Cricetulus griseus: one gene and its partners. The protein of the gene in region 3 interacts with the protein of the main gene of each other region in a pairwise test. Links are inferred from orthologs where the notes say so. Each region holds a gene or a part of one and is shown on either strand. Other genes may lie near its edges.

The links.
Region 1: the proteins of Rbpms (region 3) and Foxs1 interact in a two-hybrid assay, tested with the Homo sapiens proteins (2 studies listed by BioGRID and IntAct). The link is inferred for Cricetulus griseus from reciprocal best matches to the Homo sapiens genes RBPMS and FOXS1.
Region 2: the proteins of Rbpms (region 3) and Foxp3 interact in binary tests that used the Homo sapiens proteins (3 or more experiments, as listed by UniProt). The link is inferred for Cricetulus griseus from reciprocal best matches to the Homo sapiens genes RBPMS and FOXP3.
Region 4: the proteins of Rbpms (region 3) and Rbfox1 interact in binary tests that used the Homo sapiens proteins (3 or more experiments, as listed by UniProt). The link is inferred for Cricetulus griseus from reciprocal best matches to the Homo sapiens genes RBPMS and RBFOX1.
Region 5: the proteins of Rbpms (region 3) and Rbfox2 interact in binary tests that used the Homo sapiens proteins (3 or more experiments, as listed by UniProt). The link is inferred for Cricetulus griseus from reciprocal best matches to the Homo sapiens genes RBPMS and RBFOX2.
Region 6: the proteins of Rbpms (region 3) and CUNH11orf87 interact in binary tests that used the Homo sapiens proteins (3 or more experiments, as listed by UniProt). The two-hybrid records come from large-scale screens. The link is inferred for Cricetulus griseus from reciprocal best matches to the Homo sapiens genes RBPMS and C11orf87.
Region 7: the proteins of Rbpms (region 3) and Prkab2 interact in binary tests that used the Homo sapiens proteins (3 or more experiments, as listed by UniProt). The link is inferred for Cricetulus griseus from reciprocal best matches to the Homo sapiens genes RBPMS and PRKAB2.

What each region holds. Positions count from the first base shown.
Region 1 is NC_048599.1:27,073,659-27,077,765, forward strand, and holds Foxs1 (forkhead box protein S1), read left to right. Parts: upstream 1-1,761; 5' UTR 1,762-2,002; coding exon 2,003-2,992; 3' UTR 2,993-3,232; downstream 3,233-4,107. UniProt on the Homo sapiens protein: Transcriptional repressor that suppresses transcription from the FASLG, FOXO3 and FOXO4 promoters. May have a role in the organization of the testicular vasculature.
Region 2 is NC_048604.1:114,053,357-114,058,414, reverse strand, and holds the start of Foxp3 (forkhead box protein P3), read right to left. Parts: upstream 3,377-5,058; coding exon 3,170-3,376; exon of another isoform or gene 2,651-3,169; coding exon 2,546-2,650; exon of another isoform or gene 2,449-2,545; coding exon 2,310-2,448; exon of another isoform or gene 1,926-2,309; coding exon 1,838-1,925; exon of another isoform or gene 1,761-1,837; coding exon 1,656-1,760; exon of another isoform or gene 1,574-1,655; intron 869-1,573; coding exon 781-868; intron 650-780; coding exon 569-649; exon of another isoform or gene 1-568. UniProt on the Homo sapiens protein: Transcriptional regulator which is crucial for the development and inhibitory function of regulatory T-cells (Treg).
Region 3 is NW_023276807.1:51,013,376-51,016,829, forward strand, and holds the end of Rbpms (RNA-binding protein with multiple splicing), read left to right. Parts: intron 1-2,354; coding exon 2,355-2,486; 3' UTR 2,487-2,605; downstream 2,606-3,454.
Region 4 is NC_048600.1:39,362,092-39,366,349, forward strand, and holds part of Rbfox1 (RNA binding protein fox-1 homolog 1), read right to left. Parts: intron 2,344-4,258; coding exon 2,251-2,343; intron 510-2,250; coding exon 449-509; intron 1-448. UniProt on the Homo sapiens protein: RNA-binding protein that regulates alternative splicing events by binding to 5'-UGCAUGU-3' elements. Regulates alternative splicing of tissue-specific exons and of differentially spliced exons during erythropoiesis.
Region 5 is NC_048595.1:374,338,927-374,343,184, reverse strand, and holds part of Rbfox2 (RNA binding protein fox-1 homolog 2), read left to right. Parts: intron 1-1,716; coding exon 1,717-1,805; intron 1,806-2,177; coding exon 2,178-2,250; intron 2,251-3,871; coding exon 3,872-3,916; coding exon of another isoform or gene 3,917-3,926; 3' UTR 3,927-4,258. UniProt on the Homo sapiens protein: RNA-binding protein that regulates alternative splicing events by binding to 5'-UGCAUGU-3' elements. Prevents binding of U2AF2 to the 3'-splice site.
Region 6 is NC_048597.1:164,386,289-164,390,540, reverse strand, and holds CUNH11orf87 (uncharacterized protein C11orf87 homolog), read left to right. Parts: upstream 1-1,799; coding exon 1,800-2,381; 3' UTR 2,382-3,433; downstream 3,434-4,252.
Region 7 is NW_023276806.1:58,819,115-58,823,947, forward strand, and holds the start of Prkab2 (5'-AMP-activated protein kinase subunit beta-2), read right to left. Parts: upstream 3,337-4,833; 5' UTR 3,184-3,336; intron 2,989-3,183; exon of another isoform or gene 2,966-2,988; 5' UTR 2,941-2,965; coding exon 2,788-2,940; intron 1-2,787. UniProt on the Homo sapiens protein: Non-catalytic subunit of AMP-activated protein kinase (AMPK), an energy sensor protein kinase that plays a key role in regulating cellular energy metabolism.

The DNA of each region.
Region 1 (4,107 bases), on a different chromosome or scaffold from region 3:
GTGACTACAACTCATTCCTTAGAGCCAGCCGTACCCTGACACAAAGCTCTTCTGGCTTGTTTAAAGCACTGCTTCCCAGTGATTAGACCCTAAGAATTGTTTAGAGGAGGGTCAACTATCAGCAAAAGAGCCCTACTTCCCAGGTGCTCTGGGTTTCAGGCCCTTTGTCCCACCTATCATTTACATTTCAGGGGTACTGGGTGTGTTCCCCAAACAGAACACTTGCCCTGAATCCTGGGCTTTGAACGCCAGTAGCTAAAATGCCAGTACCTGTGGGACTCTGTCTTTGGATAAATGAACACAACTCTAAAGCAGAATCCAAGACTAGAGGCCAGCTTCTCCCCATGACCTGATGATCTTTACAGATAGGCACAGGGGAACTACTGAGGACAGAGGGGACCCTTCAACAAGCAGCATGTCCTCCTCCTCCTCCTCCTGCCTTGTGAGCGAGGAGGTGGCTTATAGGATTTTGATTATGGATGCCAACATAATAAATCTCTTTAAATAACACATCAGCGAGCCTGCTTCTTTTTCTACTTTTTTAGTACTAGGACTCAGACTCTGGGCCTTGTGCATTCAAGGTACATGTTCTGCCCCAGAACTACCCCCAGCCAATAAGTCACTTCTGTGAGGAGAAAATGATCTGATTTAACAGAGGGCCCAAGTACACTGCATTTTTCCCAGTCGTCCCAGGAATGTTTATTGAGTTCCTGCTGTGCTCCAGTGTACAGTGCTGTATATGGGGGACAGAGCAGAACAGCGTCGTCTTTAGGTGTTTGGAGCTCACAGCCTGTTTCCAGCTGAGGCCCCATGGCTGTCCCCACTCCTGACCTTCACAAATGTGATGGTGTTAAGGAGTTACAAAAGACCTGATTTAAAACCAGGGTTATCATTCACTAAATGTGCAACCTCGGGAGGTTAGTTAGCTAACCTCCCTGGGCCTCCGGTCCCTCGTCTGTGAAGATCTCTGCAGCAGGCTTGGTGTGAGGTGTGAGTGCGGACAGGGTGCATGAGCTAGCCAGGCCCACAAGAGGTGGCCACAGACTGGGAGGGTGGGGGAGGCAGAGAAAACATTGAAAGGGCTGGCTTTGTCCTGGTCCTTGCTGTACCCAGCTCCAGGATGAGGTTGGGGGAGTCTGATTTCACAGGACGTCCAACCCCTCCTCTGTACTAGGCTCTCCCAGGGCCCCAGCTTCTAAGGGATCCTGTTGCATCCTCACCATGGCCTTGGACAGTGAGGCAGTTCCGTTTCAGAGATGGGAGGTTGAGAGCTCGGCCCAGAAGGCTATCCTCCCGACACCAGTCACTAGAGGGCGCCAGGGCCCAGGGGAACGGTGTTGAGCAACCTCCTTACTGTCCTTGCAGTTCTCCGGAGTCCACAGACCAATAACCAGGGCCTGGAATAGTGGCCCAAGGGCTCCACAGTGTGGGAAGGAGGTGGCAGAGAAGAGGAAAAGCCAGAACTAGGGTACTGGAGAAGCCCCTGCAGCTTTTCCCACTCCTCAGGGACACTGCTTAGATTTTACCCTTCTGGTCACCTGCTCCGCCTCTGGTCATACCTGTGTCTCTGCAGTCCTTCTGTCTGTCTCCAGGTTCCTTCATTCTTTCCCTCTACTGTGACTGGCACTCTCTCTGTATGCTTATTATATCTCTCTGAATGTCTGGTCTCTCTCTCTCTCTCTCTCTCTCTCTCTCTCTCTCTCTCTCTCTCTCTCTCTCTCTCTCTCTCTCTCTCTCTCTCTCTCTCTCTGTCCCTCTCAATGTCTCTGCCCTCCCACCTCTTCACCCTGCAGCGGCTCACTGCTGGCCTCTCTTGCCCGCCTCCTTAGACTTGAAAAGGGCGGTGAGAGAGGAGGGAAGGGCAGTGTGGTGGGCCCACCTCTTTTTGCCTTTCTAGGCTGGGAGGCTGGACCAGTGGGTCTTTTAACGGCCTGGGCAGCCTGTGCAGATCGCCAGCCCTGAATGCCGTGCCTGGCTCTGCAGTCCCAGCAACACAGTCAGCATGCAGCAGCAACCGTCGCCAAGATCCTTGGCTCCTTCTGCAGAGCCCACCAAGCCCCCTTACAGCTACATAGCCCTGATCGCCATGGCTATCCAGAGTTCACCGGGGCAGCGGGCCACCCTCAGTGGCATCTACGGCTACATCATGGGTCGCTTCGCCTTTTACCGGCACAACCGGCCGGGCTGGCAAAACAGCATCCGCCATAACCTGTCTCTCAATGAGTGCTTCGTCAAGGTGCCCCGCGACGACCGCAAGCCAGGCAAGGGCAGCTACTGGACCCTGGATCCGGACTGCCACGACATGTTCCAGCATGGCAGCTTCCTCCGTCGCCGCAGACGCTTCACCAAGCGCACAGGTGCCCAGGGCACCAAGGGCCCTGTCAAGGCAGACCACAGACTCCTCAGAGCTGCCAGCCCAGACCCAGGAGCCCCCAACACCACTACTGGCAGGCTGTGCCCATTCCCACCAGAGGCGCCAAACCCCAAGGGTCTAAACTTTGGGGATCTGATGGGGTCGTTGCCAGCCAGCATATGTCCGGCAACTAGTGACGCCAGGCCCCAGCTGGCCACTGAATCCAAAGAGATGTGCTCGCCCAAGTCTGCATGTCCAAGGGAGCTCACTGAAGCCACCTCGCCCTCCCCGTGCCCAGCATTCAGCTTTTCGGCTGCCTTCCCTGAAGCTGAGAGTCTTGGCAAGGCCCCCACACCTGGAGTGGCCCCTGAGGGCGCCGGGAGCAGCTACCAGTGCCGGATGCAAGCGTTAAATTTCTGTATGGGAACTGACTCGGGCCTTGAACATCTCTTGGCCTCTGCAGTACCCGCCCCTGCACCCTCGACTCCTTCCGCCTCTCACCGGGCCCCATTGCCCTTGCCAGCTGACTCCAAGGAACCCTGGGTGACTGGGAACTTCCCTGTCCAGGGAGGTTCCGGGTACCCCCTGGCGTTACCTCCTTGCCTTTACCGGACACCAGGAATGTTCTTCTTCGAGTGATTGACTGCAGCAGTCGCTTCGCAGGGCCTCTGTGAACTACTCTCTGAAGACCCTGGCTGTGGGACCTAGGGCACTCTTCAAGGACCCAGCCCTGGCAGGCCAAGGACTGTGAGGACCAGAAGGCCGAAGTGAGCCATCAGCCAGGTCCCGGGGCCTCCTGACAAACTTGGGATGAGGGGAGGTGGGGCCCTCGGATTTTCTCTGTGGTTCTCAGGGCTAATAAAGCCAGTGTAATGGTGAGGGTCTGTCTTCTGAATAGCTGGGGCTAAGGACCAGGATTCTGGGTTCTATGTGGGGCACTCTGATATTGGGGGTACAGCAGGGGTTGGGAACTCATCTGAAAAGGTCCTGCTTGAGACTTTCTCCTGTTGGGGACTTTCTTGGGGAGTTTCCCAGGAAGGGAAAGTAGGGCATGAGGGCAGGCAGGGGGGAGGTGCAGCCAAGATCCACAGAGTATGGGAAAGTTGGGCTAGCCTAAGAGGCTGCTTTCTGTCCTTGAATTGTAGCTGGACACTCTTTATGAAGCCTCATCATGCCTACTGCCACACCCTACCAGGCTTGTTTCTGTCCTCTTGCCTGGGTTCTAGGGACTATCAGGCCCATTTACAACAGTAGGAGCCCAAGCTCACTCCAGCTCCAGGGAAAGTTCAAAGGACTGGCAGAGAGCAAAGGGTACCCAGGTCTGTGTGGCTCTGACTCAAACTGAGGGGGGAGAGCTGACCCCAGGCAGCATAGGATGGCCCCAGAAGGAGGAGCTGCATCTTTCTGAACACCAGGGCAGAGAAGACACCCTTCACCCTTGTGCAGACAGGGAATCCAAGTCTTAAAGGCAGCACCCATCTTTATTTGAACTCTCCACAGTAACGGAACCTCTCCTGGGTCCCTGAGTCCCTGAGGTCTCCTGGTGACTTTTTGCCAAAATCATATTACATTTATTTGTGAGTGTGAGAGCCCCCTCCCCTTCCCCCACACACACAGAGGCAACTTGTGGGAGTTGATTCTCTCCTTCCACCAAGTGGATCCTAGGGATGAAACTCAGGGGCCGTTACCACTTAACGCCTTCTCACCACCCTCCTGTGACCCTTTATAAACACATGCAGAGGCAACTGAGTTCC
Region 2 (5,058 bases), on a different chromosome or scaffold from region 3:
GCATCTTGATTACAGTACAGGAGTGAGCATGCTAGGAAGCCATAGATGCTGGGGCTGGGGGTGAGCAGGGGATGAATTGGGATCCCCTAGCATCCAACTGCGAATTTGGGAGAGTCAACTAAGTCTTCCAGACCTCAGTGGTCTTCATTTGTTCATTAGGATGACAGCGGTAGCTACCTCTGTTGTAGTATGAGACTTGACTTACGTTCATATCAGCAAAGTGCCTAGGACTGGGTGTGTGAAATATATGGTCCCACGGGACCCTACAGTATTAAATGTTCTGAGGATATTATCTTGTTATTATCTTAAAATTTGGATATAGGTCCCTCCATTTTCTTTTGCAGTGCCCCCTCTGGGTTCTGACACTGGCACATTGGAGTAACTCTCTGTCTTCTGAGGGTGGTTATTTACTATTGCTTTGAAAAGGCAGGATCATGATGTTTTGGGGTCGCAAGGTCAGAAGGTTGTAAGCAATCTAAGGAGGTGAGAAGAGATCACTTGGTCCTTAAGGGTTTCTCTCTTGTCCCCAGCAGTTGAAGTCGTCTGCCTCGGGACTTGGGGTACTCACCATAGCTGGAGCCTTTGACAGTGCCATCTTTCCGGCCAGGTGGGCTTGCATAGCACCCAGCTTTTCCTTTTCCAGCTCCAGCTGTGGGGTTATACACCAAAGTGAGGCCTCCACCTGGTCTTCAGCCACACCTTTGGCTGCACTAAGGCCTTCCCTTGGAGGGTCCTCCGTCACATCCTTCTTTCCCCTCAGCCACACCCTGCAGGCATTACCTGCTGCTCCAGAGACTGCACTACTTCTCTCTGGAGGAGGCACTGTGCCTTGCCCTTCTCATCCAGGAGGTGATCTGCTTGGCAGTGCCTGAGCAAGGAGAAAATTCCATGTAGCTCATCATGGTGGGTCAGGCCTCTTGGCTTGGTGTGCCATTAGGGACAGCCCAGACCCTTTGGGAGATTTCTTCTCAGAGTCTCAGTTTCCCTCACTCAACAACACCCACCCCCTCTCACACCTGGATACCCTTAAACACACACTCTTCAGCAACTGCTGGCTTCTAGGCCTGGGCTATTAGAAAGGTGGTGAGAGGGAGAATGGCACTTCAGATGGTAGGCACAGTCTATGCAAAGGCCTGGCCATGCAGGTCATACATCATTGCCAAGAGTTAGGTATGGTTAGCAAAATACAGAAGGGGAGGGGGGCAGATATAAAGCTGAGAGGAAACAGCTACAGTCATCTAGAGGAGCAGAAATTCAAGGCTCCATAATGTATATTGCATGATGGGAAGAAGGACAAAGCAGTTAGGAGTGTGGGTTCTGGAGCCTGTCTGCCTGAGTTCATATGCAACATCCATCATACAGGATCTGTGTGAACTTGATTGACACTTAATTCTGTTTGGCCTTAGTTCCTTTGTGTATCACATGGAGATAACTGTCAACATATACTTTTATTATTATTATGTCTCATCATACAAGTGAGGCAACCTGGGCTTAGAGAAGCCCAGAAACTTGCCCAAGATCACAGAACCAGGGAGGGATGAAGTCTCAACCTTTACTACTTTCTTATCATCAGTCAAGAAGATTCTGAGTTGAGATATGCAGTCCCGATCTCTGCTCAGACACCAGAATCCCATGGGTAGGGTCAGGCTACTCACTTGAGAAACTCTTCTGGCTCCTCGAAGACCTTCTCACAACCAGGCCACTTGCAGACTCCGTTGGCCAGCAGTGGGTAGGATCCTTGTGGTGCAGCCAAAAGGTTGCTGGGGGTGGGAGAACCCAGGGTGTCAGCAGAGGGGTGGGCGGAGAGAAGGGGCTCTTCCCAACACTGCCAACTTACTTTTCTTTCCTGGGTGTACCCGAGCGTGGGAAGGTGCAGAGTAGAGCTGGCTCCCTGGATACCCACTCCAGACTGGCCACATTGATCCCTGTGAGTAGAGACAGGGTACTTCTGGGGCTGCAGGCGAGGCTCTGCAGCTTGTCCCAGAAGGCCTCTACCTTCCCTGGACCTTGGAGACTGACTGATAGGACTCTGCTGTTCCCACAGAGCAGGCTTCTGACAGAGAAGCCTAAAGACAGCCCTTGGTAAGTAATGACATTTTGAGTAATGGCAGCAATTTGTGATTTTTGACATTCTATGTCTTCAAGGTTCTAAGCCTGACAGATTTTGGAGGTTGGTGTTTTCATGACTCTTAAGACCCCTCTAGACCTCCATAGGGCTGTAACTCAGAAAAGTTTACAATTGTGTATATTCAAAAATCTGAGGACTTGGCGGTTCTGTGAAGCCATGGGGAGAAAGCTGATGTGTTTACCAGGTGGCAGGCCAGGCCGGGCCTTGAGGGAGAAGACCCCAGCGGCAGCAGAAGGTGGTGGGAGGCTGATCATAGCTGGGTTGTCCAGTGGGCGCACTTGTAGCAAAGGGGTCTGGGCATGGGCATCCACAGTGGAGAGCTGAGGAACATATATGGACCATGGCTCAGGCTGGCTTGTGCTCTGCCTTACAGTTATCCTGTTTGTTCCCTCTTCCCAGCCTGTTCAGATTCCATACCTGATGCATGAAGTGTGGTCTATCCTGGAGAAGTGCCTGCAAGTGGGGCGAGGGGCCTAGTCGGGCCCCAGAGGGTGCCACCATGACTAGGGGTACTGTAGGCAGCTGGAAGGAGAAGGCAGATGCCATGAGATGCTAGCCTCAGCTTCACAGTCCTGTGTCTCATCATCGTCTTTTCACTAAAGTTCCACATAGTAGGGACTGTTAACATATCCAGTTCACACACGTGGAATCTGAGGCTCATAGAGACATGATTCACCAATATCAAACAGTTAAAAGTGGTAGAGTTGGCCCCAACACTGTCACCTTACCTTCCTGGGCTCCAGCCATCTCCTCTTGACACAGTGAGATGGGGACACATGGCTATGCCCATGGGATCATAATAAGGTCTCCTTTTGGGACAAGGATTGGGAGGGTGGGGGAAGCCTCGAATCTCTGAAGCCTGGAGAGTGGGGATTTTCTTGGCCCTGCAACATCTGCATAAGTCATAGACTTGCCTGGGACCCATAAACCACTTCCTGTGCCCCAGCCAGCCCCCCTCCTGCCACATGCCACAGTAAAGGTCGGCACCTATAGGCCCAGGTACCCCACCCTGCTTGCCCCATTCTGGGCCCCGGGCCTCACCTGCAGCTGTGATGGTGGCAGGGGGTTTAAGGAGGAAGAAGTGTGGGCCCCACCTCGCAGGTCCCGGCCTTGGAAGGTTCCCCCAGGACCCCTGGTCCCTAGGAGTTCTGAGCCCTTGGGTGCAGTCTTCCAGCTTGGTAAGACTCCTGGGGATGGACCAAGGGCCAAGGAAGGGGCCACGGGCTTGGCTGGCCTGGGGTTGGGCATTGGGTTCTTGTCAGAGGCAGGCTGCAGGAACAACAGTGGAATGGAATCACATGCATTCCAGGGGTGGTGTAAGACATTCATCCACTTGAACCATACAGATAGTGTACCCGAGCCCTCCTCTCTCTTACACATATACACTGATATATGTATAAAACACAAATTGTGTTTATCCCCCACATGTACATGTCCAGAACTTGATTTGCCTGCATACACCTCACAGTCCTGTTGTGAATGTGGGGCAATGGGGAGTTGGTTTGTGGAGCCTCAGCCTTCTGGTACCCCCTGCATTCTGTATGGGCCACAGTCATTGCTGATTCTACTGGGGCTTATCTTGGACTCTCTTTTCATTATTTTATTCCAGTGACTTGGGCATGAGCTCAAAAGAGTCAGCTGGATGCCATGAGAGGGAAGGTTCCAGGGAACTTAGTAGTACTAGTGAGAAGTGGACTGCAATAGTTTAGGTCAGTGATGCTGCTGCTACCAACCCGGATAATGGCAGAGCAGCTGGTAAGGAATGGCTAGATAGTAAGTCTTTTTTTGAAGACAGAGTCAGGAGAAGTTGCTGGAGGCTTAGATGTAGGAGATGGGAGAAAGGGTCAAGATGACATCTGGGGTTTTGTATAAGCAGCTATGACAAAGTAATCATTGCCAGAGATGGAGAATGGAGGAGTAGAGTTTGCAGATGGCAGTCCGATGTGGCTGCATGCAAAGGTAAGCAATTAGATGGAGGGTAGACATGCAGGTAGGTAACTGAACTCAGGACTGCACAGCTCAGGGCTTTTGTCCTGCATGGAGTTAACATGGCAGGTGCCAGAAAAAGGAGGGACAGGATTTCTTGATCCAGGGCCCTTGGGAGCTCCCCAAATTAGCCTCATCCCTACTTGCCCCAATCTTTGCTCCCCAAGCTTGGAATTCCTGCAGCATCTCGTCTTCCCCTAGCCAGACCTGTCTTCTGTGTTCCTCCTTAAAGCCCTCCATGGTGACCCAAGCCCCTCTGCTGAGCCCCATTACCTTATAGATCCTGAGGGGCATGGCTTTTGTTTTTGTTTTGGATCTTATAGTTCTAGTCAGAGAGGCAACCAGATCTTGAAGTGAGGGATCTTTAGTTAAAGGGGTACCCCAGGTTCATATTTCTACAGTTTGTTCATAGCCTGTAACCTTTTCTTTTTAGATAGGATCTCATGTAGCCTGGACTAGCCTGGAACTCACTATATAGCCAGGTTGTCCTTGAACTGTTTGCTTTCTGAGTGCTGGGATTACAAGTCACCATTCCAGGCTGATGTCTCCACATCTTGGTCTAGGAAGTATGTATCCATCCATGTCTACAGTTCACAACTCCCTGCTTTGTAGATGTGTACATGTGTGTATGTCATTCTCTAGTCTACTGTACTACATGCCTTGGGCATATGGCTTCTGCAAACAGCCAGGGGAGCACAGAAGTGTTCTGGAAGCCAATTGCTTCTTTGTTATCATGTCATGGGGATCATCAGAACTGTGGCCCTGAGTTTAAAACTGCAGTGTCTCATGGGTTAAACCATTAGCATGAGAACCAGGAGTCTGGGTCTGTAGAGGCTGAGAACACGGGCTTCATAGAACAGTGATGAGAAGAGGAAGTGAAAGACTGAATGAAGGCAGGCAGCCATGAGGTGATGGTTCTCCAAGGCAAAGAGAGCAAAGAAAAC
Region 3 (3,454 bases):
CCGGGACAGGCTTCCCTCCTTGGCTCCCAGCTAGCAAAAAGGGCATCACAGGAGAGAGGGACAGAGAGAGAGAGAGAGAGAGAGAGAGAGAGAGAGAGAGAGAGAGAGAGAGAGAGAGAGAGAGAGAGAGAGAGAGACTGTGAGGGGTATGGAAGGGAGGCATGAGTTTTAAGTGTGTGTGTTGTTCATGTATAAAGAGACTTGTGCTCTCTTGTCCAAAGTGAGATGAGGGGCCGAAAGGAGGCTTCCAAGAGGAAGCCTGATCTTATGGGAGTTGCAGGGAAGACAAGGTTGCTTATTGCCATGTGCACAAAGGTCCATGTCAAGGGTAGATCTCCGCAGCATATTGCTCAGCCTGGGTTTTAGAAACAAACTCCTTGCTTCCCCTCCAAATACAGGGAGAGGCATACCAGCTCTTCCTCTCCCTGGAAGCCATGGTTCTTTTGAGAGCTGAGGATAATAATGAGACCCGAGCTTCACCCTTGGCATAACCACTCATGTAGTCAGCCCATGACAATTATTGCTGGCCATTGACAAGTAAAATATAGGTTCTATCTGTCTTACTACATATGCCACTCAACCTGGCCTCTTAAAAATTGCTGGCTGTGGACTGGTAGGATGGCCCATTGGGCAAAGGCACTTGCCGCCAAGCCTGACAGCTTGAGTTCAATCCCCAGGACCCACAGGTAGAAGAGAGAGCTGCCTTCTGCCAGTTGTCCCCTGCCCTCCACACCAGTACTCGTGCAGACACCCAAACTAAACAAATACTATAAATCTTTGTAAATTGTCAGACTGGTCAGGTGTGGGGGGGTGTTTATTTTGCATGGTCTTTGTTTCCAAGGCTGGATGATACCCCTTCATGTCCTGATTAAGAGGCCTGGGAGCAGCCCCAGAGAGTGTTCCCAATCCACTGTGTCAAGAGTACTGCAGGCCAACCTTTCTTTATCTGAGACTCCAGTGCTTTTTGCCTGCATTGGCAACTGGTTTCCTTAGCTGTTTGTTCTCCCTGGGGCATCATCTGCTTCAGGCAGACAGAGTTCAAAGGGAACCCCATTGTCTTGTGCCCGGGAACAGATATTGTCTGTCCTCTTCAGGGAGGGGGTACAAAGCAGTGTGGGGAGTTAGGAAAAGTGCAGAGGTGGCAGTGACTTGCCTTGGTTCAAGAAACAAACTGAAGTCAAGGATCAGGTGTGCCTTTTGCTTTTCCACCCTCTGCCCGGTGTCTCTACATGGGTCAGTGTTCAGTAACCCTGGTGACTGCCAGGTAGCAGGCAGGAGCAGCTAGGTGGTGGCTGTCTTTAGCTGAGTCGTTAGTGGTTTTGTGCTGTGGATAACTTTGTTGACAACAAAGGTCCATAAAGTCCCCATTTTGTGTGCCCCACACTTCGTGTGCAGGTATGCCCTTCTTGCTTAGGGTTCAGGAACAGAGCAACCAACTGTTGGGGTTATTAGCAGTACACACCATGAAACAGTGCAAGGTTGCACATCGGGCAACAGAGCCATTCACTGCTGCCTGGAGAATCAAGGCTTGCTAATGCCCAGAAAGACCTGGGAAGACTGGCTTTGGTCATGATGTGACATGACATCTGGAATTATTTGCAGGATATGGAGGGTAAAGGCTCTCTAACAAGGGTCTTGGGAGATTTAGAAAGCCTACGCCCCTGTGAGGAGGGATGGAGACCCAGTGCAAGATTAGATGCATCACGGCGTGTGCCTCGTTGGCATACATCACCCACACGACCCCCTTCTCTTGAGACTTCCCCAGCCTGCAGTCCTCCTAACTCAGCCATCAGCCCTACCTTTGGTGGAACTCCGATCTGCTGGTGGTGAGATCCATGTCGAGTCTCACTTCTGTAGAGTCATTTAAATGAACATTCTTAATAAATGTATTTGTCCATGTTGGAGTGAACTGGTAGCTTTGCAGACAACTGATCCAGCCCGTTACACAGACAGGGAACAGGGCCTGAGGAGATGGAGAGTTGTCCCAAGTCACAGTGGTTCTAGAGTTCTAGAGCAGGTCTGTCACCTGCTTCCCTTGCTAAAACAGCAAGGCGCCAGCTCACCTAATTCTTTTACTCTTGATGGAATTTTGGAGAGGCCTTGCTCCAGCGATTTCTTGGAACTTTCTTTTCTAAGTAAATGGGAAATCTGTCAGGAGAGCCTTGGAGGCCAAGATGGCTTCCGAGAATACTGACTAGAGGGGAGCAGAGTGGGGGCCCCTTCCTAGGTGCCTGGGGTTTTGTTTTGGAAACTGAGTGTCTTGGAGATTCTTCTGATTTTGCTTTTTTTTATTTTTTATTTTTTGCAATGTTGTGCTTTGTTTTGAGACATGGATTTTTTTTTTTTTCTTCTAGTGTTTCTCTCCAGAGGCAAAGCCCAACACACCTGTCTTTTGTCCTCTTCTCCAGCAAATTAGATTTGTCTCTGGGAATGTGTTTGTCACATATCAGCCTACTGCAGACCAGCAGAGGGAGCTCCCATGTTGAAATTGTTAGCAACCCCCACCCCCCTTTTGCAAAAAACAAAAAAAATCAAAAAAACAAAAAACTATTTCTTGATGATATTTGAGAGATTTCAATAAAAATTTCAATCAGAGGGAAAATGATCTCAAGTAGACTACAGAGTTTGTTTTCATGGTGCTACAATTTTGGAGCAAAAGTATTTAATCTCTGGCTGAGTTTGTGAGTACCTGGCCCGTAGAAGCTAAGTTGCATGTTTCACGGGAGCAGATTCTGAAAGAGCACCCTAGAAGACTGCGCCCAGCTCCAGGGCTTCATCGATGCCGCTGCCATCTTCTCGAGCTCCGAAACCACCCTGAGCTTCATGTTAGAAGATCCTCGTGCCAACAGGTCATCGGCTACCAGAAGTTCTTGCATCAGCACCAACAAGGCTGCCAGATCTAGCTAGGGGACACATACTGCTGTGTGCCTGCTCTGTTCCCAAGGAAGGGAAGACCCCCAAAATGGGACCTCCGTTATTGAGTTGGATCCCATTTCTAGTTCGGTTCTATCTAGTCATGAGCTACAATTCTCTCTCTGGTTTAATGGTACTTATGTACCATCAAATCCCATTGCTTTTGATCTAATTAATGGTGGCATACACCTGTAATCCCTTCTCTTGGGAGGCAGAGTCCTAGCCAGCCTGGGCTTTAGTGAGATTCTCTCAACTCCCACCCTCTCCAAATTGGGTAAAGTAGCAAGACAGCAGTGTGTAGTGCCTTCATATTTTTACGGAGGGAACTAGGACCCTGTGTAGCCAATGTCCAACTTCTAACATTAGCATTTTTTGCATAATCGTCTGGTTTATCCTCAAGGTCACTGATGTTTGCAGTGTACTAAGTACATTGTGTGAGTCACTGGATAGAAGAGTCATGTTTCATCTTCCGATTTCTGAAAGGTAAAGGCAGCATACAGACCCTCACATCTTTGTCCTTTGAATCTGGCTTCATCTTGCT
Region 4 (4,258 bases), on a different chromosome or scaffold from region 3:
CAGGTCAGGTCAATGTGGTATATGACACCCATGAACTCTAATCATCTGTAGTTACTTGCCCAAGTCCTGCACAGTTAAAAAAAAATCTAGCATATGAGGGCAGGAGGATCCTCAGGCCCTACTGCTAGCTGAGGAGTTGTTGGCAGTCCATGGCTTCTGGGCCTGGGAAGGTCACTTTTCTTTACGAATTTGACACCAGTGCATCACCCCTAGTTGAAATCAGTGGGCTAACATGAATAAGTAAGACATGAAGTTGGATGGGAGATATGATGTGGATTCTTTAGAAGGATTGGAGGGGGGAGTTGGGAGTACATGTGGTAAGATAAAATGTATCCATGTATAATACTTTTCAAAGAATAAAATGAAAAAGAAACAGATTCCCTGGTTAAAGAACACTGTGGACTTGTAGGCAAAGAAGGTATCTTGTGGTAGGCAGGTATCTACTTACCATTGGTGTATGGGTTGACAGTCTTTTTATTAGTCATTACACGTGCTGTTGCGTTATTAACCTACACACATAGAAAACTCAAGTGAGTTTGGATGCCAAGGCCAGCCCATGATTCAATTAGTTGCATGCATTATGACTGTGATTACTTATTGAAATCAAAACCAAGAAACAAAAACTTAAACAAAAACTGAAATGCATTTTAATTTACAAATGGCAATAGGTGCATAACCCAAAAATCATACATTTTTATAATTACATTTACTTCATAACAGATTTAACTTACAAATCATTTCAATAAAGCAATGTCATCTCATTTAAAAGTTTAATAAAGAGACAGTAAAAGCAAATTAAAAGATAATGCATAATTGAAGATTTAAAAGCATGCGTGTGCTCCATGGTAACACAGAAACAAGAGATAGGTTTTTAAACAGAAAATAAAGTTAATATGAAAGGGGCATGCAGTGGAGAAGGGAGAGGAGACAAAGTACAGGGAACATAAATGTCAAAGAAAGGGACAGACAAGTTTAAGCCGTGTGCAACACTTTGGGAAGGGAAACCATGGGGAAGCAACATCTAGCATTCAACACTTGGAACAAGAGCCTTTTACATTGCAAGAATTAACGAATCATTCAAGCTTTAAGGTCACAGCTAACAAAAGGATAAAAGAGAGGGTGCATTGTGTAACACAATATGGAGTTAACGATCTGAGTAAGATGTGCACTGGTCATAACTCAGTCCAGTCAGAGCCTCTCAGGCTAGCTTAGAACGTACACTCAGTTACAGGCGTACCAAAGACCCAAAAAAATAGAGCATCAAGAAAACTTAATACAACAAGTCAAAAAAATCCACGTGGTAGAGAGATATGTATAGAGATATATCAGCACTAAATACGTGAAGCGGCAGATGGACTTCATCACTTACCATTCACCACCATCGCCAGCATGGGTTTGTATACAGTTACCATGGTTACTGAGGGTTTGGTGAGGGGCCTAAGCGTTACCGTCGAGGGGGGAAAATAAAAAGGCAAAATATGCGACATCTTACTCCAAAGACTAAAGCATTTTTAACTGGTAATTTTTTTCTTTTCAAGTTTTAACAAATATGACCCTTTGATTGTGTTGAAGAGGAACCCAGTGGTACAAAGGGCAGGTGCTGAATGTCAGAACGAAGGGTCTACATTTCCAATTGACAGGGGCCATGACTTAAGCGGGAAATGCTGATTGCCTATTCAATGTCTAATCATTGAATGCAGAAATTGAAGCTGGCTTTTGTTTTTTTAACAGCAAGATTTAATGACAAGTGCCTCTCACTTTTTCTGTTTTAATATTTTGAAATGTCATTGCCTTGGAAATTTGGTCTAATTTGCAAACCACTGTGGATCCCTCTTCAACCCTAAAGTGGACTAAAAAGGAAACAAAATAAAACAAAACTTGATATATATTTGGTTTTGTTTGGATACTGTGTCCTCTTTGGAACCTATTGCACCCATTGTTCATAAAACATGGAAAATAAAATAAAACAAACAGACAGAACCTTTCATATTAACCTCCCTTTCATCTCACTTTTTTTTGCCATCTAATCTCCAGCAGTAATATAAAGAATAATGTAAAGTAAAATTTAACAGAAAGTAAGGCCAGTTTTCCTTTTTATATCTAAATATATATATATAAATATATATAAACAATGAGAAGGGAGTAGGGTCACACACGAGACACCAATGATGCACCTGGAAGGACAAATGAGCGTGAAGCAGACATTTATAAAAAAAAAAAAGAGGAAAGGAAAATATTTTGGACATGCACCTCGATTTTACGGCCCTCTACCACGGTACCGTGCAATTTCTCCCTCGCCCTGTCCGCATCCGCACTATTTTCGAAAGTTACGAAACCAAATCCCTGCATGCAGGAGGGAGAAGGAGAACAACATGCATATTATTATTTCAGTCAACGACCACTTGGTAAAGTTCTCTCGCTTTCATTGCTATTTCTTGTCCTGGCTTCAGTTCTGTAACATGCAAATTAGAGAAATTATAAGAACACTACGATGTGCAGTCATTAAGCAACAAATGTGAACGAGATTTTTTTCCTGTCACCAGTTAGCTGGAACCCCTAAAGAATTCAAAGATGGATATGGAAACGAAAACCAAACCAACAAACAAACAAAAAAAATACCTTTCTAAACATCACTATGAAAGAAAAGAAATCAAACAAAAAGAAAACGAGATCAAAATAAATGTACAGTGTCTTCACAGAGAATAAATGAAATAATGAGGAAAAAGAAAGGGAACCAGTTTCTTGACATGCAAATTAAAAAATCAAACAAAATAAAACGTGTGCACGGGAATTCAACAGTGAATGCTCAAGTCCTGTCACATTGCCTACGGAGTCATGCTGCGTGGATTTAAGAACAGTTCTTCTTCATGCAATTTTAAGGTTATTCGATTCTGTCAACTGTACAGCATTTGCTTCTCAAAAATAAAAGTAACAAGCCTAAAAAAGGAAAGACCTTTTCTTATAATAAATTTTGAACTTGTGGTTCTAATAAACAAAAGAAAAATCACATGAAATGAATAGAAACAAACTTTTTTGGTTAACAATGTAGATAAGCAAGTACCATTCTACATTTGTACTTTGCCCTCCCCCTTCCCCAAATAATAAAAGGCTTTAGAATTTGACCTTTTATATTATGTTATTAACCAAAAAACAAAGTTCTAGGGCTCTAGGCTGGCATTCACTTGCTATGTCAACAGGTACCAAAGTAAAGACATTTCCTAGATGGGAGAATCTATGTACCATCTGAACCCATCCTCTTTGACTGATAAACATCAAATACAGCCCTTGTTTGCATCACAAGTACAGTTTTTGCTTTTAATATTTCAGCCTCTAACACCAACCCCAGTATTCCATTTTTTAAAAATCCATCTTCATTCTTTACTGACACTGTTTCTATGATGAGTATAGAAAAATCTGACATACTATTCCTAAAATCCTTAAATATATTTCTACATTTTGTTTAGAAATATATACACCAACCTTTGGAATAATTCCAGTATGTTGGGTCCACATTGGTATAAGTAGGAAGCAATTTCATACTCTATCAATTTTCACAGAATAAACCTAACACACAGTCAAGACAGTTACTTGACCCTCATACACGACATTGAGCTTTACAAATAAAATATGCAATAATTACACTTTAGAGTGGTAATAGCCATCTGATATTGGACAATAGTCCTATAATGGAGCCTATGAGAAGCTTATAATTGAGGGATGTTTGGAGAAAGCTGCTGGGTGCACCAACAAGGAGACTCTATAAAACCAGTCTTGTCTATGGAGGGTATGAGCTGTGAATGTGTTAAGGTACTGGGAGATAGATATTTGTCAATGTCACACACAGAAAAAAGATCATATGTATTTACTTGACTGAATGACTTTGCATTTCTTTTCTCAGAATAAGGATTCATAAGTAGGGCATGCCTGAGTGATCCAATTAATAAACAGAGATACACTCCACAAAAGTTTTGTGTGTTGCCTACCTAATCTGGGTGCTCAGAAATACTTGCTAATAATATTCTGGTTCTGGTGAGAAAGGAACAAAAATATTCTTTTATGACAAAGGGGAGAATTTGAGGGAATGGGTTGTTTCATTTGACAACTCTATCTCCTGGCTAGTGGTTCCAAAATTCAGTTGTACATCAGCAGGGACAGAAGCATATTACATATTTTGATTCCTGGTCCTCACTTTGTATTTGCCACATCAGAAACCCTGAGTAGAGACTAGATATCCTTTTGCCTCACAAAACTAACTACA
Region 5 (4,258 bases), on a different chromosome or scaffold from region 3:
AGTCAAGAAAGCCAGCCAGAGCTGCTAGGTAGGGTGCCAGAGAAAAGCAAGGGCCCTGTTAGAAAACACAGTAACCTGGCCATGGGGGCACACACCTTTAATCATGATCAGCAGTCGGGAGTCAGAAGCAGGCAGGCAGATCTCTGAGTTGGAGTCCAACCTGGTCTACAGCATGCAAGCGCACACACTCAATGGGGGAGAGGGGTAAATGTGAGATGTCTCTTGTAAAGTTAGCAAAAAAAATGAACATTTGAAGGAAGAAAAAAATGGGATACTTCAGCTGCCATGAGATATCTACAAACACATCTTATTATTCACAACTAAGCCATTTTTGATAGCCAAAGGATGGCAATAAAAGATGTGTATATGGCAGGGAGGTGGTGACCCTTAATCCCAGCACTCAGAAGGCTGAGGCAGGTGGATCTCTGTGAGTTCAAGGCATGGTATACAGAGGGAGTTCCAGGACAGCCAGGGCTACACAGAGAAACCCTATCTTAAAACACCCCCACCCCACTGCAAGAAAACAAAAAATAATGAAATGATATCTGAATTAGATAAAGTAGGTGAGTTGTAGAAGGATAAGTAAAATGAGGCCTTAACAATTGTTTCACTTGTCTGAAGAGCCATGGTTACATGAGTGTCCTTGAGTCCTAGAAGGGGAAAAAAAAAAAAAAAAAGCAGTTAAATGATTAAGAGGCATGTCTGACTTCATCAGAGCTAGCCAAACGCTCCTAAGCCACTTGTCATCTGATTTCCCTGGGATATAGGCTAGAGTTAGCAGTTTTTTTATAGAGAACTAGGTTCAGACATGGGCTTTTAAAGCCACAATCTCTTCAGGTGGTGGGCTGTATTAGTTCACAGGCAATGCTCTCATGCTTGGTTTGCTTGGTCCCTTGCTTCTCTGGTTTGATCTCCACAGACCTGCTGGGCCAGGTGGATCCAAGCTCTGGGTCAGACCTCCCTGTGACCTGCTGCTTTCTCTAGTAACCAGGCAGTCCCAGGACAGAGAATCTGTGCTTGACACCTGGGTGTGATATAGTTTAGCTATTTTATTATTATTCTTTTTATTTTTTTACATTCCAGTCCCAGTTCTCTTTCGAAATGTTAACATCTCACTCTAAATCTCTCAGTGGAGTCTCTGTTCCCTTCTCTGATATAACAGATGGGTTACTGCTTGTTATAATTATTAACGGATTCTGTGGGTTTCCCCTTCATGGTCTTGACTCCTTTGTTCATATATTATCACTCCTCCCTCACATCGATTGTATCCAGGAGCTTGGCCCATTGGTTAGTTGTGGATTTCTGCCTCAGAAGCTTGAATCCTCTTCCAGAAATATAGTTCAACTCTTTTTAAAGCTCTGTTATATACATATATGCATGTAGACTCAGAGTTCTACCATGAATGTTTTCCCTATCAAGAGTTCCAGAAAATACTGAAGATTCAAAATCATATCTGAATTTCTTAAATTACTAAGCAGTATTCGTGTACTTTATTTTTCTTACTGTCACAAATTGGAAAGCAAATTCCGACATTGGCAGAAGCTTGATTTGCTACTAAAGAAGGAGCATGCAGACTGGTGCAGTTTGAAACATCCCTTCCCATGTGTGTCTGTGTTTGTGTCTGTCCTTGTGTCTACACGTGTGGGTCTGTGTGGGGTGGGAGGTGTCTCTCTCGGGGAGAGGTAGCTGTAAAGTCAGTTCTCTTCTCTCCTGTAGGGTGGATATGCAGCCTACAGATATGCACAGCCTGCTACTGCAACCGCAGCCACAGCTGCTGCAGCCGCTGCAGCCGCTTACAGCGACGGGTATGTACAGAGCCAGAGCAGCAGGCTCTCGATGTCCTGAGCACCATGCCATCTGCAGCACCATTCCCTTCCCTCTTTCTCCATTTCCAGAACCACCCTTAGTCCCTGGGCCTCCTGCCATGGCAGCACCCAGGCCTAGCCTCTTCCTGTACTCTCATGTTCTATCTCTTCACAGCCAGCCTTCTTCCTCATCTGACCCCTTCTTTGCCATTTTAAAGACGTACATCAAGATTTCCCAGTTACTGCATTTGGGGAACAGACATAGGAAGGCTTTTTCCATCTGCCATTTTCCCTGCTAAGAGTTCAAGTCTATAGCACAGACCTCAGTCTCAGTGTCCCCTTTCTTCATGTGACCGTGCTTCTTTTTTCCAGCTACGGCAGGGTGTACACAGCTGACCCCTACCATGCCCTCGCCCCTGCCGCCAGCTATGGAGTTGGCGCTGTGGTAAGTTTATATATCTTTCTTTTTCTCTTTTTTTCTGTCCTGGCACTCGCTCTGGAGACCAGGCTGACCTCAAACTCACAGAGAGCCACCTGCCTCTGCCTCCCAAGTGCTGGGATTAAAGGCGTGAGCCACCACCACCACCACCACCACCACCACCCAGCTGTATACCTTTTTTCTTAAGCCATGTTACTCCTAACTTCTACACAAAAACTTTGAAAGATAAGGAGAAGTGATGCATTGTCATCTCATCTGTCGCCAAAGTGTAGAAGCTATTTGAGACTCTGGGAGTTTCTGTTACTTTCTTTACCTGTATGTCTGGAAAGGCAGTAACAAGAAAGGGATTGAAGGTGACAGTAATGATGTCATTTAGGAAACAATGAAGGGAGAGGGTTCTGGTGCCGGGTACATACCAGTAGCATAGTGTTCTTGAAAGTAGCAAAGGCTTGGGAATGTTAAGGTGCCCAGTTTTCACTGTAGTTAGTATATTGCATTTTTAATTACCAATGCCTAACGATGTCCCTCCTGTCCCATTGTCTTCTGGTATATAGGTAGTACTGGGACTTATAGTATGGTAAACACTGCAGAGGTAGATTCTAGAGCAGTTCTAGCAAAGTACATAGAGCAAGCTTGTCTAAAATAATCCGTGGGGCTAACCTTCTCGCTGCAGCCCTCTTGGATTTGGCTTAGATGCCTTTACTGCTGTTTGGGATTCACAGATATAAGGGCAGGCGACTCCATAATGACACCTGTTTCATTTCATGCTAAACAATAAATCCCCTACACTGAAAGAAAGACCTAGGGTAAGATTCCTGGGAAGGTTCACATGAAAAGAAGTAAGACACCAGAGAAAGTCAGTTGATAAAGGTGAAGAAATGGATTTATAATCAATAAATTCATATTTCATTCATAAAAAAAAAAGGTGAGGAAATGACCAGGGTGGCATGCACATCCATACCTCACATTCAAACACTCAACCACAGTATCAGGGAGAGGTTATCTTCCCATGTAGACTCATTCTCCCATTGGTCTCCAAACAGTACAGTATTTTAGCAGTTTGCAGAGTGCTTAACCTTGTGTTAGGCCTTTTGTGTCATCGCAGAGCGTGTGTCTGGTTATACATGAACACTAACTCTTTCTGACAAAGGACTAGTTGAGTTTGGGCATCCCTGGGCATTTCTTGAATCAATGACCCATGGATATTGAGACAACTATGTTTCATAGATTGTAGATAAGATCTGTCTCACTGGTTGAAAGGCTGACTCAGGTGTAAATGTAGCATCATCTCAAACACAGAATGTGACCACCTTTGCCAAGGAGAAACTGGAAGTGGCATACTCATAAAAGGCCAAGTGTGAGAAGGGGGTTCAGTGGTCCAGCTGCTATCAAGACACTAGTAGCATCACAAAAACAAACTTGTAGGACTTGTCTTTGTAGGACCAGTTGGACACTATGCCAGATCTGCCTTCACTGCTTAGTCTTGTAACCAAGGAGTAAGCCATTGTGCTGCCCCCACCAACTGGGCTGCCCGAGCAGGTGACAGTCCTGTCTCAGGACTTGTTACTTCATTTCTAATGCTTCTCTCATCACCTTTCAATTATTTTTATGTCTTTAATTACTGCAGGCGAGTTTGTACCGAGGTGGCTACAGCCGATTTGCCCCCTACTGAAGTGACGTGAGACCCTGCAAATGGGACAGCCCCCAGTTCATGAGGCCTGGCTATTGCAATATTTACTAGTAGAGGACTCTATAGCAAGATGAAGAGGAAAACAAACAAACAAAAAAGAGAGAATACTTTTTTATACCTCACTATGTTCTTTGAATATGTATTTTTCCTTTAAATTTCTGCCTTTAATTCTTTTGTTCCAAAGATTGTGCTTTTTTGTTTGTTTTGTTTTGTTTTTTGTTTTGGATTGGGGGGGTTGTTTTGGTGAGATTGTTTCTTGTTTTGGGGGGAGTTTTTAGGTTTTTTTGTTTTGGATTTTTGTTTGTTTTTGATTTTTTAATTTTT
Region 6 (4,252 bases), on a different chromosome or scaffold from region 3:
GTGAAGGATGAGGCGCAGAGCAATGGAAGAACTAAAGCCAGCATCTTCCTAGGCAAAGGAGTGCTAGTGCTGAAGGTGGGTTGCTGGCAGGGTGGAGGTGGAGGTGGGGGTGGGGTTGGGGTGGGTTTGCTCCTCCCAGCCCCAAAGCCGGGGAACAACAGGGAACTGGGAATGGTGTTGGCGAGGCTGTTATGCCAGGACAAGGTGTTGGGTATGAGGGTGGGTGGGGGCCTGAGGGGTGGCTTGGAGCCCTGGCGGTGGCTGCCTGACGTCACCGGCCTCTCTGGCAATAGGCTAAGAGCTGAGCTCCTTGTAGCAGCAGCGAAGGCAGCAGCGGCGGCGGCAGCGGCGGCGGCGGCAGCAGCAGCAGCAGCGCGGTTGTCTCTGGTCCCTGCGCTCCGCGCCTTCTGCAGCTGTCACTGCAGCCAAGGCGGGGGCTCCTCTGCAGCCGGCTGGCCTTTCCAGGTAAGAGACAATTGTCCGGCTGAAGGCTTCCATGGCCGGGGGGTCCAGCGGCAGCATGTGGGCGGGTAAGACCACTCCCGAGGCCTGCGCAAGCACCTCTGGTCAGAGGTTTGGCCCCCGCCCCTGCCCCGGCAGAGGCTAGCGCTTTGCCTTGCTGCTCCGCAGTGCAACAGTTTGCACCTGCCTTTTGGGAGAGGCAAGGGAGCTGTACTGCCTGCTGCGGGTCCTCCTGACTTGGTCCTCTGCCACAGCCTCTGGGCCCTGGGGTCAGGGCCCTGGGAAGGCTGGAAACAAGGTCGGTTCCCCCAAACTTTGCAGGCGGGAACCCTTCCCCTTCCAGTTCCTGCTCTGGGAGAAAGAAAAAGGATACAGGATACCGTCAAGTGGGAGGCTCAGGGAGATAAGGAGGAGGGGGGCGTTTGCGAGGATGTGCCTCCACTGAGCAGGGTGCTTCAGCTGTTTTTGATGGGGAGGAAGGAGGAGGAAGGTAGCAGGGAAGAAGGCTGGAGAAAGGTCGAGCATGATCCTGTGTGCCAGATCCAGCGTGTCAGCTGTGGCCAGGGACAGAGGCAGTGGGATGTATCTCCTGGGACTGGGACCTTGGAGATCTGAAGGTTCAGGCTGGAAGTGTCTGAATAGGGAGGGATGGAGAAGGAAGGCTGCATATAGGGAGCCTGCTTGGAGCGAATGCTGGCTGGATCCTGAGAAGAGGTCCACAGAGCTCGGAGAGGAGGGCAGTTGGCTTTCTGGGAAGTAGATAGAGAAAGCCAGCCTTGGCGGCCGGCCGCTGTTGGTAACAATTAGAAAGTTGTGCAGGGGGCAGGGCAGCTGCCTTCTCTGCTGAGTAACCAGTGTCTCCGCGGTGCGGTGCGGTGTGGATGCCAGACCCTATCTGAGCCAGCGGAGCAGCTGGCAGCTGCTCTCCTGCGCTGCCAGGAGCGGTAGGATTGGGTTGGTGGGTTGTGGAGATGATAGCGCTCATTTGAGGACCACTTAGCAGTGGTAGCATATCCCTCTCGTTCGCCGCACTTGCCTTGGCAGTGGCCGGGACCCTAACTAATCCTGTTCTCTTTGCAGCACGGTGCCCCGGGAAAGGAATCTGGGCTCTTGGAGACAAGATCAAGGAGGAACGGAGACAGTCTCCCTGGGGCCACTAGCTCTGGTCAGCTTGCTTGCAGGCATTTGCTCCCTCAGTCTTTGGCTGGAGCACTCACTCCCTCCAGCGCCAGGGAGCAGTTGGGGTGGCGTGGGCTCTTGTCCTCGTCTTGGCCGGTGGGAACTGTGTGTCCAACAGAGGAAGCCCAGTGGGCCTGGCCCCTCTCAGCCCAGCGCCGATGAGTGCCAGGGCGCCTAAAGAGCTGAGGCTGGCGCTGCCGCCTTGTCTCCTCAACCGGACCTTTGCTTCCCACAATGCCAGTGGAGGCAGCAACGCAGGTGTCCGAAGCTCGGGCGCAGGTGGTGGCACCTGCATCACGCAGGTGGGACAGCAGCTCTTCCAGTCTTTCTCGTCCACGCTGGTGCTGATTGTCCTGGTCACTCTCATCTTCTGCCTCATCGTGCTGTCCCTCTCCACTTTCCACATCCACAAGCGTAGGATGAAGAAGCGGAAGATGCAGAGGGCTCAGGAGGAGTACGAGAGAGATCATTGCAGCGGCAGCCACGGTGGTGGTGGGCTGCCCCGGGCAGGTGTTCAAGCCCCAACCCATGGAAAAGAAACCCGGCTGGAGAGACAGCCCCGGGACTCTGCCTTCAGCACCCCCTCCAATGCCACCTCTTCATCCCCTGGTCTCCTGTGCCAGGGTCCCTGTGCACCTCCGCCTCCACCGCCAGCCCCCAGTCCACATGGAGCACATGCAGCTTCCTCCTGCTTGGACACAGCTGGCGAGGGCCTTTTGCAAACGGTGGTACTGTCCTGATTGTGTAGCCCTCTCCCGACCCCTTCCTCATTTCCAGCATCTTTGCCATCCTTGCTTTTGTTCCTCCTTTCTTCCTTTTCCGTTCTCCTCTGGCCCCTCTTTCCTCTGCCCTCTTTCCTTACCTGCCCACCCTTTTACTGTTTCTCCTCCGCCGAGGCACTGTGCGGTATTTGTAAATATTGGGCGAGGAAAGTCTCAGAGGAAGAAATAACGCCGATAATACTTTATTGATATTTATAGTAATTATTATACTATTAATAACACAGTCCAAGCGCATGACAAATCACATAATTTCTCATTGTCAATGATGGCTGCATCTTCCCTCTCCACCCCGTGCCCCCCTCTCAGTAAGGAGGAGAAACCGCACAAGCTACCAAATATATAAAAGACAATGACACAGGAGCAAAGGGAGGGGAGGGGGCCGGTGATGTTGTATATAGCTGTCAAGTGAAGGTTTAGTAGCCTTTCTGCCCCTCCCCCACGGGCTTTCACTTTTCCTTTAGCTTCTCTCCCCTCCCCTTTCCTCACCTTCAGCCGGGCTCAGGCATTAGTAATTATAAATGAAACATCTACATTAAGCACCAGAGACCACAGAGAGTGTCCCAGAAAAACGTTTAGGACAGGTAACCCCTCTCTAGTCGGTCATCTCTTCACTTTTTGGTTCCCCTGGGCAGAGTTTTCGAGTTTACTTTTAGAAATATCTCTCGCTGGCCGAGCTCAAAACAAAACAAAACCCATATTATCTGCTTTTGCCTCCCACCCCCATCCGTGGGACCCCACTTGCACACTTGACTGGTGGCCTGGCCTTTTTTGTTTTTTCTTGAGCCTCAGAGACATCGGGAGCTGTCCAGCCATGTCTGGTGCTGAAAATGTCTCGCCTTCATGGTTCCTTCCTCTGGTTGTGCAGGCCAAAGAAGGAGCTGTTTTGGAAAGCGATTGTCTTGGTTTTGATTGGTTTCTTTCTTCTTTTTCTACAATTGGATTAGCGTGTACTGTTGTTTTGCTTATTATTAAACATTTAATAAGTTACCTTTATCTAAAAAAAAAAAACAGTATTGGGTAATGTGCAGTTCTGAAAATGCAGTATCTAACCAACCAGTATGTTTCTGTTTTATTTTTAGAACAAGTGCACCTTTGTTATATACTTACTATATTGGTACCAAATACAGAAGAAAACTATAGTTCTGTGACATGTCCTCCAAACTGTATACTCTTGTTCTGACTTTCCAGCTGTTGATATAATGGTTGCCACTGGCTGAGGAAGTCAGTGGTGCAGGCCTGGCTTCTGTTTCTGGAAGTGTTCTTTTGTATTTTACTCTGTAGTAGACCATTATAAAAAGATGACACCCACGTTTCCCTTTTTTCTTTTGTGAATAACAGAAACAGCCACAACAGAAAACAAATAATGGATGTGCAAGAATGCCATCTATTAAAAACATGGTTAATATTTCAACAGTGCCTGTAGTTCTCTGCATGCAGTTACCACCTGGAGGCAGTGGTGTGTGTGCTTGCTTGTACTGTATGTGTTTGGGGGAAAGACTGGTGGAGATGTTGGGCAATTTGGATGACAGGACATGCAAATTTCCAAGTTAAATCAGTAAATGCTTACAGGATAAAAAGTGTTTACAGCTTGTTTAGTTACAACTCTGTGCCTGCATCTGATGTACAGCAATGGAGGATCTTTCTTTTTTCTAAGTCTGGCCTAATTAGCCTCTCTGAACACATAGAAAATATTGAGGAAAAAAGAAACTGAGAGAGAAAGTTGATCTTTTGTCTTCTCTTCAAATGTCAGATAAACCCACCTATGTTAGACTCTGATGCTGGTTATAAAGCAGTGGGACCCCCACATATATCCCTCTCCCAAGCCACTA
Region 7 (4,833 bases), on a different chromosome or scaffold from region 3:
AAATATGAATTTCTTAGTTTCTTTCCATCACCAACCTTCAGGAAAAGTGTGGGCAAACTGTAACCAGTGAGCCAGACAGCTTTTTACAAAGCTTTTGTTTGGAAACAGCCTCTCACTTGTTTACTGCCATCCACAACTTTCTGTCTCAGTGGGCGGCAGACCTGGGGAGCTATGACACACTGTGTGACCCACAGAGTCTAAATTATTTATTATTTGTTCTTTGACAGAAAAGGTTTGATAATCCCTACTTTCATTGGCTTCAGGGACTGGAATAAGACTGTATGGCATCAAGTCAAACATTACATACAACACAGTAAAGGTTAGAGAAAGAAAAGACTAGCTGATTTGGGCTTTTCCCTGCTTTATCTAAAATGAAAAAATTTACCTTTCATTCTGTCTTCCAATAGTTCTGAAAACTACTGTACAAGTACAAACCAAAGTAAAAGGAGAAAGAACATGAAGGGACTTTTACATTATTCAGGAGACTGGGCTAAGACAAAGCTTTGGCTCCACAGTCTCAGAGCAATGCACTGGGGGTTGATGGCTGCATTAGGCATGTTTACCAATGCCTAAGAACAACCCTCAGATTCTAATTCCCAAACAGAACCTGAGAACATATTTTTTTTAAAGCTATCAGATAATTATACTGTACTTATATTACAATAAACAGGGAAAACGTGTTTTGTTTTTTCCTAGGGGGGTCAAATTCTCACTCCGGATTGGCAGTGACCCTCCTGCCTCAGTCTCTGAACAGCTGCAATTACAGGAGTGAGCCACTACTGTATCAGCTTTAAAGAACAATCACCTTTTTAGGTATACCCTAAAATGTTAGAAATACTATTTGTTGGCATCTGTTTCAGAGTAGTGGGTGGGACAATGGCTTGGAGCACAGAAAGCCACTCATTCGTGACCTTTCAGCACCATTTCAACCGGGTGACATACACACAGTTCATTGTACTGTTCTAGTTTATAAATGTGTCAGATTTCCCATAAGGTTTTAAAAACAATCTTAGGGATCCTAATGTTCAAAAGGGATGGAGAACCCTAGTGAGTCTACTAAAAAGCCTGACCTTTAGAGCAAAGATGCCCCCCACCCACCCCACTGTCTCTATCAGTTACTTTTATGACGGAGGATTTTCAGTTCAGGATTTGAAAGCTCTACACTATTAATACACCTGGCTTTGGAGCAAAGCCCTTCCACTTATGACATGACATTTCTGTGGTAGCAGGGAACGCAGCAAGACTGTTTACTGGAGTTGAACCACCAGCAACAGCAGCAAATCGGCAATTCAAATTACAGTCTGAAGATGATTAAGGAAAAAAAATCAGTGGGGGGAGGACATGTGAACTATAAAGTTTTTAATCTTCATGAGACTGGGGGGGGGGTTGTTGGAACTACTTTTCTCATTTCACAAACGGCAAGATGTGAGGGAAAGAATGTTCCAAAACAGGCCTGAATTCACACAGAGCAAGCTGGCTCCTATTCAGGACACCAATTACTGCAGTCACAGTTTGAATGTACCCAAATCCTGAGTCATCCATGTAGGAATGAGCAAAAATACACGGCCTGTCACCCTGGGTAAGCTTTGGAGAACAAAATCCAGGCTGAGCACAGAGCCCCAACGACGAGGAAGAAGTCCTAAAGTGGGGACAAAGAGGGAACCCCAAGAAACGCACAGCTCAACATCTCTTACTTCCCTAACGGAGTCCTCAATCAGGACTCAAGAAAACAAGCCATATAATCCAAATTCCACATGCTGTCAAAGAGGTAAATAAAACTCTATTCACTATCCTAAGCCTCAGTGCAGTGGGAAGGGATAAAGTGACAGGCGCCAAGTATATCCCAATCATCTCCAACCCTCTGGTTTTTCTTTTTCACTCCTGACAGCCTACTTGAGAAATTAAATGTTTTTAATGCTGACATTTCTAAAAGTGATTAGGAACATTAGGGTAGCAATCATACTGCTGTCGGCTCCATCTGCCTCTTCTTTTGGGTGAACAAAAATGGGCCTTTGGCTGGAAGTCTCTGGCATTGGTGGCAAAGTCTTCGGGCAGTTGTGGGTGGTTTTGAGCCTCAGGCAACATTTTGAACATTTCGAAGCACTATAGTGGAGTGAAGGGAAGTAACTTGCTCTCCCACAAGGCACAGCCAGGTGTGCAAAAAGCACAGTCACAATCGCCACGTTTATAAAAAAAACCAACCAAACAAACCTGAAGCCATTATCCAAATGATGCACTGTTCTGATCACCAAGACTAGGCGAAAGTATTCAAGTAACCAAGTGATAACTGCTGAGAGTCACGCAAACGGGGACGAGGATCAAAAAGGGGACGCAGGGCCCCTGAGAGCAAAGGTGATATCTACACAAAGGCATTTTCAGGGAAAAGAAATACATTTAAATATCTCGAGGCCAATGTGAGAAACGGAGCCCGAAGCAGCAGCTCAAACAAGGCAACCTCTTAAGTTTCCAAGCTCGCTCACCACCTATACATCCTGCAAGCTCCACCACAAGAAGGCAAGATGTGGTGCAGAACCAAGGATGGGGCGGGCAGGGGACGTGTCTCTGGTACCGGTCCTGAAAGTATGGCCCGCAGATCAGTCAGAAGGGCAGGAAAACAACTCCACGCCTCTATCCTCATTTGAGGCAGCACCTAGGAGGCATTCGTACTCAACATCCCTGTCCGCGGGAAAGCCCTCTAAAGTCATAAAATAAAATGAACCCGTAACCCTTGGGAGTGAGGAGGAAGAACCAAGAAGGGAGAAGCAGCCGGCAGCCCCGTGGACTCACCTTGGAGTCGGGCAGGTTGAAGACGCTGGGGTCGTCGGTGCTCCCCACCATGATCTTGTGCTCCTTGCCCGGGCCATGGCCGCCGCCCTCGGCTCGCGCAGCCTTGGCACCGTGGCGCTCCCCGGACACCCGCTCGCTGGTGGTGTTTCCCATGGCTGCAGCTCGAGTCGGGGGCAACCTGCCGCGGGGAACGACACCGGGCTGGGAACACCCCCGCGGCCGCGTCAGGGGCGTCCCGGCCCCGCCCCTGCGCCCGGGAAAGGGAATCCCCGCCGCAGGAGGCCGCGCCCGGGGTCCCCTCCCTGGTCCACTTCGGGGACGCCTCCGGCTGGGGAACCCGCCCGGGAGTCACCTCTACCCCGCGGCCCCGGCGCCGCACACCCTCGCGCCGCTCACCTCGGGCGATGCGCTCCGGGATCGCGGGGCCACGCGCACGCCGGCTGTTGGGCGCACAGAGAGACCAATAAAGTTATTGAAATTGAAGCCGCGCCCCAAGCCAGCGGCACGGGTGGTTTCCTCCTAAAATGGCTACAAGGCCCGCGGCGCGGACCCGCCTCTGTCCATGGCCCCGCCCACAAAACCTCTTTGTCCCGCCCCCTGCGTGCCAGCCCCGCCCCCTCCCCAGTCCTAGTCGCCTGCCGCTCTAGCCACCGTCGCCGGCCGCCGTCTCTGTGGTGAATGCGTGCGTGCCTGCCTCCAGTTTGGGGCGGGGCGGGCGCGGCGGGCGGCGGCGGGGGGGCGGGGCGGCGGTGGGCGGGGCGCGGGTGGGGCGGGCGGGGCGAGGGGGGTCAGGGTCCGGGTTGGGGGCCAGGCTCTCGCGTGGCGGGCGCTAGTATCTGGATGGAAGTCTATACGCTTTCGGAGTCATGTCTTCCTAAGTAATCCGTCCAGCCATGGGACACGGACTCGTCAGAGAAGCCAAATCCGAGGTCTCCTGCTCTGGGTACAGAATTAGAATCTGCACTTTAACAAGATCCCATCAAACTGCTTGACAGCGGTAGGGAGCGGTTCCACATTCGAATGGTTTTCATTATGCCGCTTACAGCTCTACCGAGCGACCTCGTTTTCATTGTCCCAGGAAGCAATGAAATGAAGGGTGGAAGAGAGAATTGACTAGACGCATGAAGTGTGCCTGGCAAGTACTGCAGAAGGCTTACTTATATGTGGTGCCCAGTTCACCATAGTGGTGTTTTCTCTTACTGTGATTAGCTGTGTGGGAGCATGCATTCAGCTCAAGATGAAGTTTGGCCAAGGAGGCAACAGAGGAGTTGGGAGCGCATGGTGGGCTGGGAATATACCGTTGGACCAGCGACTGGAAACCAGTAGACTAGAAAGTGAAGGCAAAGCAGGCTGATGGCGGGCCCAATGGAGTCTAAGATTGATGGGCATGAGGGTATCGGAGTGAGCGGAGAAGATGATTAAGTAAGTGGTTTTGGAGAGTAGGATGCCTGCCACTGAGATTTCAGAGGCCTTGGAGTTATCAGCACTGGCAGTATCTTGGACAAGATCAAGGGTGTAGGTTGGTGAGGCTAGGTAGACCATAAAGTCATCAGAGTAAGAAAATCAAAGAAGGGCCTGGAGAGATGGTTGAGTGGTTAAGAGCACTCGTTCTTTCCGAAGACCCAAGTTTGGTCCCCAGCCCTGACATGATGGCTCATAACCATCTGTTCCGGCTGATCTGACATCTTTTGATGCACATGCAAACATGCAGGCAAAACACCCATTTATAGATAAAACTGAAAAAAAATGTTTAAGTCATGCAACTGAAAAGTGAGATGGCAGAGATGGTTGGAGATCTGCCTTCCTAACTCTCATTTCTTTCCTCTTTCAAAAGCATTAATCCATCTCCATCTCCATCAGATGCCAGGAAAGGGAATCCCCGCCGCAGGAGGCATTAATCCATCTCCATCAGATGCCCATTTCCACAGAGATGCACTTCTTAGCCTCCCCAATACGGGGCGGGGGGGGAGATACCATGTAGAACTTCTGTTAAGTTTTTCTTCATGTCTTTATCCTTGTGTATAGGACGCTCATAGAATAGCTAGA